2 linked regions of the Xenopus tropicalis genome follow. The protein of the gene in region 1 interacts with the protein of each later gene in a biochemical or structural test. Links are inferred from orthologs where the notes say so. Each region holds a gene or a part of one and is shown on either strand. Other genes may lie near its edges.

Region 1 (3,831 bases):
ATTTTCACAGACAAATGCATTATTTGAACATTCTACCAGCTAATTAGAGTGGCATTCTGGCAGACAGTTGGTTAATCTGCATTTAGAACAATTTTAAAAATGTTAAAAAAAAAATCTTTCATAGCTTAAGTATGAATGAATAGCTCTTTGACTTCCACACCACAGCTTCCTGTTCTGTCTACTAGGTTTAAGTTTTCTATAAGGGCAAAGGTTAAGTAATGACTAACTGGCGTTAATGCTTGCAGGAAAATAAGGCTGCCTACAGACAGTCTCCTTTACATTGAGGGTGCTGTAAAAAAAAAAAAATCAGTGGCAGAAAGTAAATATTTTTTTTCAACAGCATCAATAAGTTCTGTAGTCCTTTGTTGCATTAACAATATGTCTTATGTGGCTGTAAGCTAAGTGGGATAGTACATGTAGGTTGCTGTAAACAGTTTGCCTTTAAATATATTGCACACAACAGAAAATATATCATAGCCTTAAGAGTTTGTTGCAAAGTATCATTTCCCTTAGATGGATAGTGTTAGATTTTTTGCATAACGAATGAAAATGCAATTTTTAGCAACTTTCTAGTTTACTTTAATTTAATATTTTCATTTATTTCAAAGGGTATTTGTAAATATAGTTGTTGTGAAAAGTGGTATCTACTATTCTCTCAACTTCTTGTTCTGATTACTTATACCATTGTCACACAATATTTTTGGCTTGCTCCAGCCACAATACTTTACACGTTCTGTGAAAGTGCTGAGAATAACAGTAAAAGGCATTGGCCAGAGGAGAGCTGACGTATTGCGTTTTCACTAAAACTCTGATGGCAGACAAATGTATAGATTAGATATTGGATATTATATTTTTATAAGCAGCTACAATGTTTAGTTATATAGTTTCCCTCTATGCACTTGTAAGGCATAGAGAGTTGTGTATGCTTTCTGAATGGAGCATAAGGGTTTTTTTTTTACATTTCATTTCCTCCTCCAATAATGATCTCTATTTTTCTTTTATATTTTCATTAGGTTGACCCAAAGGATTATATGTTTTCTGGACTAAAGGACCAGACTGTAGGCAAACTGCCAGATAAAGTTGCAGGTCAACAATTTGTTATACAGGAGTGTGAAAACTGCAACATCTACATCTTTGACCACTCTGCAACCATCACTATTGACGATTGTACCAACTGTCGCATATTTTTAGGGCCTGTAAAGGGCAGTGTGTTTTTCCGTGACTGTAAAGACTGCAAATGCGTGGTGGCCTGCCAACAATTCCGCACTAGGGACTGCAGGAGAATGGATGTGTTCCTGTGCTGCTCCACCCAGCCTATTATAGAGTCCTCTACAGGCATGAAGTTTGGATGCTTTCAGTACTATTACCCAGAGCTGGCATTGCAGTTCAAGGAAGCTGGATTGAGCATTTTTAACAATACATGGAGCAACATCCATGACTTTACACCTGTTGCTGGAGAAACAAACTGGTCCCTTCTCCCACCTGATTCTGTCATCCAAGATTTTATACCCCTGCCTGATTCAGAAGAGCTGAAATGTGTTCGGGTTTCTGCAGATATTCATAAGAGCATAATACCTGTAACCTGGGGGCAGCGGCTGAAGAAAAGTGATGAATCCTGCTTGGTGGTTTTCTTTGCTGGAGATTACACCACAGCAAATGCTAGAAAAATGATCGATGAGGTAATAGAAGTTGCAATCTTTTATTGCACCTGGCCAGGGCTAGTATAAATGTATAATATATTACAATTCAGTTTATTGTTAAGCATCAAAATTATGTTTCCTGTATAAAAGCGAAATTTACAGTTTGAAAGCAAGAATTCTGGGATGAATCCTATTATTGCTCTTAAAAATTTTCATTGACATGGAATAACTGAAGCTGCAGTGTTTTAAAGCACAGCTAAAGCAGTATGCTGATCAGTTTTCCAATTCCAGGCCATTCATCCTTCTTGGAGCTCTTCAGTACATTGTCTAGCTTTCTGATAAGCTTATATAGAGCTAGGGAAGTGGATTCACAAAAAAAGCATTTTGGTTTGAGGCGAGAGCATCCTCATTCATTTGAAAAGCAGAACTAATTCTTGCAAGAAAGCCCAGTATTGCTCTTTGCAATGGCATTGAACACCCTTATAGCTAAAACCCACCCACTGAGTTTTAATGCACAGGCATAGAAGAATGCTGTGGTTTTTTGGAAACATGACTAAAGGTGGCCATAGACGTAACAATTATGATCTTTCCTGTGACCATTGGTCACAAGAAAGATTGTTCGTACCCTCCACTGAAGTTCAGGGCTGAATTGTATCATATAGAGGTAGAAACAATAGGAATTCTAGCCCTATCTGACGATTCAGCCCTAAAAGCAGCTTTTGCTCCACGCCTTCAATGACGATCAAAATATTTGCCACGCCTGAAGGCATTTGAGATATCGGTCATCTCGTTGAGCCACCATACACGCCCCAAATATTGTACAAAACCTTGTTTTGTACGATAATATCGGTGCTTGTATGGTCAGTTTTATACATACTTATTTTGTGATAAGGTAAAAACCTATACCAAGGCCAGAGCTTTTTATGCTCTGATCAGCTCTGAAAAAAAGATTTGTAACTATTTTGGAGTCATTGTTAGTATGTGCCTGCTCTGCCCCATTTTTGGTAATGAAGCTTCTTTTTCCAATTGATGGGGCTGAGCTGGACCAGGAAAGTGCATATTTTTTTTTCTCCCAGCATAAGAGCAGGAAGGTAACGCATGCTACCTTAATAATAGTTTTATGACACTTGTGAGACTAAAATTTAATATTTTGTGATATATATAGTTCAAGTTTTAAAAGGGAAAAAACAAAACAAATGTATTAATTTTTAAAGTATCCCTCCTAATGCTAAAACTATACCCTTTAGTGAATATCATAGTGTCTTTGCACTTATAAAAAGCTTGTTATTTTCTAGAAGAGCCCCATCTTTTGGGGGGGTTTTATTGTTGGTAATCTCTACCATGTTGTGCCTAACCCACTTTTTCATCCTTAATGCAGATGGTTGGCAAAGGGCTATCTCTTATTCAGACTAAGGAAGTTGCAATGAAAACTGAAGATGCAAAAAGAGTATTTCAGGACAAAGTCACAGATTTAATCTCTCTGGTGGAGAAAGGTATGACCTAGGCCTTGCTGAAGGTTCATTTTTAATTTTTACAGCATTTCATCACCCTGCACTTGTAATGCAGTCATAGGATATGAAAACAAAACTGTGCCTGATATAATAAAAAATCAGAATTTGATTTATGTGGTAACTCGTGCCTAACCTTAAATGAAGAAATAGGCCACCACTTTCCATAAGATAACTGTAGATAAAAATCCTCACATGGTTACTTTACCCAGTGTCATTGGGTATGATCCTTATATGTAATTGGCCAGCACTCACCAATTCTACTTCTCTAGAAAACAGGTGCCTTTTGCAGGTTGTCCACTAGTCAACTAGGAATCACAGCACCATCCAAATTTCCAAATTTAAAAAGCCTTTATTGGAATCTCATGGCTGTCAGTCTCTCGATCAAACAACATTTCAGGCCCAACCATGGCCCTTTTCCAACTGAAGCTATGCCCTATATTTTGTCTTTATCCTTATGTCCTGCCTACAATTTTTCCTCTCAAGGTCCTGTAGTTGCACTGGAATTTAATGGCGATGGAGCAGTAGACAACTGTCAGTCAGTGATCAGCAACACCTTCAGTGGCTCCAAGGTGAGTGGTTAAGCCTGAGAGAAAAAAAAGATCTCTTCTTTTAGAGTGTGTGGGATTTTAGATGACCTTACATCATAGTTTCGGTGTCTGCAAGTAACGTTACTCTTTAAA
Region 2 (4,588 bases), on another chromosome or scaffold:
AAACTATCCTATTGGGTTTATTTAATGTTTAAATGATTTTTAGTAGACTTAAAGGAACAGTAACACCAAAAAATGAAAGTGTATAAAAGTAACTAAAATATAATGTGCTGCTGCCCTGCACTGGTAAAAGTTGTGTGTTTACTTCAGAAAGTCTACAATAATTTATATAAATAAGCTGCTGTGTAGCCATGGAGGCAGCCATTCAAAGGAGAAAAGGCACAGGCACATAGCAGATAACAGATAAAACACTATTGTATTCTACAGAACTTATCTGTTATCTGCTATGTAACCTGTGCCTTTTCTCCTTTTTTCCAGCTTGAATGGCTGCCCCCGTGGCTACACAGCAGCTTATTATATAAATTATAGTAGTGTTACTGTAGCAAACACACCAGTTTTACCAGTGCAGGGCAACAGTGCATTATATTTTTATTACTTTAAAGCTCTTTAATTTTTTGGTGTTACTGTTCCTTTAAGGTATGGAGATCCAAATTACAGAACAATCCCTTATCTGTAAAACCCCAGGCCTTGAGCATTCTGAATAACAGGTCCAATACCTGTATATGCAAGTTTAATTGAAACAAATATACACTGTAAACACCACTAGGACAGGAACTAATGTGAATGATCAACAACCACTATAAAGTGTTGTTTAACATCAGCACTATATCAAAAATGATTTATAATAATTGTTATACATTATGAAACATACAGTTGTAAATATATTTAAACAAAGAGGCCCATTGCTAGTGTTACTGATTTATCAAAATGTGAGTTTAAAGTCTAATACACACAAAAACTCACCCATGTTCTATTCATTCCTATGGGTTTTTAAGAAGTGTATTTATCAATCGGTGAAAGTTCACAATTTGATAAATATGCTTCTAAAATTTCCATAGAAATACACAGATCATGATTTTTATGTATTAAATAAGTTAAACATTTATATATTATGTTTTTATGTATTAAATCTGACTTTAAATCTTAATCCAAATTCCAAACTGGAGAACTGCAGCCAAAAATAGTTAAATACATAAAGTAACAATAGTAACACCAAAATAAATGAAATGAAAATGTTTTAAAGTAATCAGGACATAATGTACTGTTGCCCTGAAATGTTAAAATGTGTGTGTTTGCTACAGAAACACTACTATAGTTTATATTAAACAAGCTGCTGTGTAGCCATGGGCTAATATGTTTTCTGCTATGTAACCTGTATCTTTTCTCCTTTTTTCCCCAGTTTAATGGCTGCATCTCATGGCTACACAGCAGTGTATTTATATAAACCATAGTTGGGTTTCTGAAGCAAACTCAACTGTTTCAATAGTACAGGACAACAGTACATTATATTTCAATTACTTTAAAACGCCTTCATTTTTTGATGTTAGTGTTCCTTTAAAAGGGCAGTATACATCTACATATAGCTTCACCATCAAATGAATAGAACTTACCCTACAAATACATTCTGCCTAGTCTGTTAATATAGAAGAATACATATGTTCACAGTTATTTTTACCACACATGAAACAATGCTTACTGAAACAGAACCACTCATAATGCATTGTGGTCAACCATTAGAAAAGTTTTTGCAGGTGAAGCGTATTAGGAATGGAATATTAGGATGAAACTCTTGAATAAGCGGTGCAACTGACAAATAAATGTTATCATAATTACTTATCTGCTTGCAAGTTCCTATTTTGGGGACAGAGATGCCAATAATGACTTCAATAGGGAAAATTGGGCAACATCATTCTGTATGGCAGGTCTGTACAAACTAGAGCATTATAGGCCTTTAAGGTGGCCATACACCTTGTAGCTGCCGATATCGGGACCTTAGACTGATTCGGCTGCTTATCGGGCCATGTAGGGGGACAACAGGCCTGCCCGACCGACATCTGGCCTGAAATGGGGCAGATATCAATCGGGCAGGTTAAAAAATTTGGTCGGATCGGGGACTACGACGGCTCGTTGATGCAGTCCCCGAACCAATTGCGCCTATTACCAGCGTTCTAATTCGATCGTTTGTCCCCAGGGCCAAACAACCAACCGAATTAGCCTGAATTCACCCAATATCCCCCACCCGTAGGTGGGGGATATCGAGACAAGAGCGGATCTTGACATGTATGGCCACCTTAACTCCTCAAGTCATTATTACAGCCCCTAGTTTGCTCAAGGGTTTAAAAAACGTATTTTTATGACATCAAAATGTGCATATAATCCAGCAGCGGAACATGTAATGTAAAAAATGATCAACAAACTACAAATAAAATTTGATCCACATTGATTTATAGTCAACAGCAGCATAACGGAGCCCCACAGCGAGATCATTTGAGCGCCCTCCAAAACTAGCAGCAACTGCAGGGTCTGCCTCCTCTCCAGATACTACTGCTTGTATAAAACATAACGTTATCTCTACTTATCTACATCCATGCATTGCTGCTGGGGACTATTCTACTGATGTACAGGATGTAATACATCAATGAGACCCAGGAGAAATAGATAAGAGCAGTCTCTAAAAGAGACCAAAGATTTTTATGCTCGAATTAAAAGATAAGGTAATATCTGTATTCCCTTTGGTATAGACCTGGCATTAGGCCTGGAGCTTTGCCGATTTAATCTCTTTCCTTAACCCCTTGGAGCCGGAGAGCCTCTAGCTGTGACTCTCCTATTGGCCTGGAACTACAATGTCCGGCTATCAGGGGATTCTGGTAGTTATAGTTCCCGGTCCCGGTTACGGTGTGTGCGATTTAAGCTGAAAAGCAATGGATGAGCAGCGGAACGGTGACAGTCCTCCCTCTCCCCTCCCTTTTTACCTCTTTAGCATCATGGCGTCCCGGCAACCATAGCTTTCTATACCCATTGAGGAATTCTCCTATTACACATTTTTTATTTACCAATAAATAAGCTAGTTTTCATTATCTGCTGCCTCTTTCCCTCCCCAAACTCCTGAAGGATTTTAACATCCTAAAATACCAGATACGAGAACCCCTCAAAGCACCACTCACCATCCTCTCAGCGACTCTCCAGGTTACCAGGGGCAACTACGTCACCCAGCGACGCGGCGTGCGTTGTACGTTTAGCCACGCCCCTAGACGCTGCGCATTGAGGGCAAACCTCGCCCTGAACTACCACCTTGCGGCGGTGTGCGCATGCGGAAAACTTGCAGTCGCTTGTAAAGCACCAAGGGAAGAGAAAGTGGGAGCGGCACAGATATGGGACTCGATTGGCTGAGGTAATAGGTGGGGGCAGTCCTAAAGGCTACAGTGATCTAAGTAGCTAGCGTGGACGGAAGACCTGAAAAGTGAATGGCAGTTAGTGGAGTGAAGAGTTGTAGCCACGGTACAGGTACGGTACATGAGGAGTTTGCACTATGTACAAGTAAATGCCTAACCGATGTGCATTGGTGGCTTTGAATTTTGTTATGGTTGCATCATATGTATAGGTGAAAGGCTATTGCAAGGTTCCTGTGCCATATGTACTCCTTAACTGCCCTTATGTGTCCATTGTGGCATTGTAAGCAACTGTAATCTTATATATATCATATATAGGGAGAAATGTGCCTGCTGATAATCTGATATAGGGAGAAATGTGCCTGCTGATAATCTGATATAGGGAGAAATGTGCCTGCTGAAGCGTGTATAGTACGTATCGGTATAGTACGTATCGGTATAGTACGTATCGGTATAGTACGTATCGGTATAGTACGTATCGGTATAGTACGTATCGGTATAGTACGTATCGGTATAGTACGTATCGGTATAGTACATACATTACATTAACATTTATTTATAAAGCGCCAACATATTCCGCAGCGCTGTACAATAAGTGAGTTACATACATTGGACATACAGAGTAACATATAAAGCAATCAGTAACAGATACAAGAGGTGAAGAGGGCCCTGCCCAAAAGAGCTTACAATCGTATCGGTATAGTAAGTATGGGTATAGTAAGTATGGGTATAGGTATAGTACGTATCGGTATAGTAAGTATGGGTATCGGTATAGTAAGTATGGGTATCGGTATAGTAAGTATGGGTATCGGTATAGTAAGTATGGGTATCGGTATAGTACGTATCGGTATAGTACGTATCGGTATAGTACGTATCGGTATAGTACGTATCGGTATAGTACGTATCGGTATAGTACGTATCGGTATAGTACGTATGGGTAGAGTTATGTATGTAGAGTTATGTATATGTCAGTTATATATAATGTATTATGAGCGGTTCCCTATAGGGGGAACTGTACCTGCTGAGCTGTGTGGGATATGCTACAGTTTAGTCAATTATATGGAGAGCTGTCTCTGCTGAAACGGCACTCTAATCATGTATAGTGAGTGCTGTCTCTGCTGAATAATGTGCTTTAAATGGCGCTGTCTCTGCTGAATAATGATTTCATTTTAATGGCACTCTAATCATGTATAGTGAGTGCTGTCTCTGCTGAATAATGTGATTTAAATGGCGCTGTCTCTTTTGAATAATGATTTCATTTTAATGGCACTCTAATCATGTATAGGGAGTGCTGTCTCTTCTGAATAATGATTTGATTTTAACGGTACTCTAATCATGTATAGTGAATGCTGTCTCTTCTG

Evidence for each region.
Region 2: the proteins of rp2 (region 1) and arl3 form a complex in vitro, tested with the Homo sapiens proteins (2 studies listed by BioGRID). The link is inferred for Xenopus tropicalis from reciprocal best matches to the Homo sapiens genes RP2 and ARL3.

The regions. Positions count from the first base shown.
Region 1 is NC_030678.2:114,952,039-114,955,869, forward strand, and holds part of rp2 (protein XRP2), read left to right. Parts: intron 1-1,013; coding exon 1,014-1,679; intron 1,680-3,018; coding exon 3,019-3,133; intron 3,134-3,634; coding exon 3,635-3,720; intron 3,721-3,831. UniProt on the Homo sapiens protein: Acts as a GTPase-activating protein (GAP) involved in trafficking between the Golgi and the ciliary membrane.
Region 2 is NC_030683.2:29,019,610-29,024,197, reverse strand, and holds the start of arl3 (ADP-ribosylation factor-like protein 3), read right to left. Parts: upstream 3,100-4,588; 5' UTR 3,006-3,099; coding exon 3,003-3,005; intron 1-3,002. UniProt on the Homo sapiens protein: Small GTP-binding protein which cycles between an inactive GDP-bound and an active GTP-bound form, and the rate of cycling is regulated by guanine nucleotide exchange factors (GEF) and GTPase-activating proteins (GAP).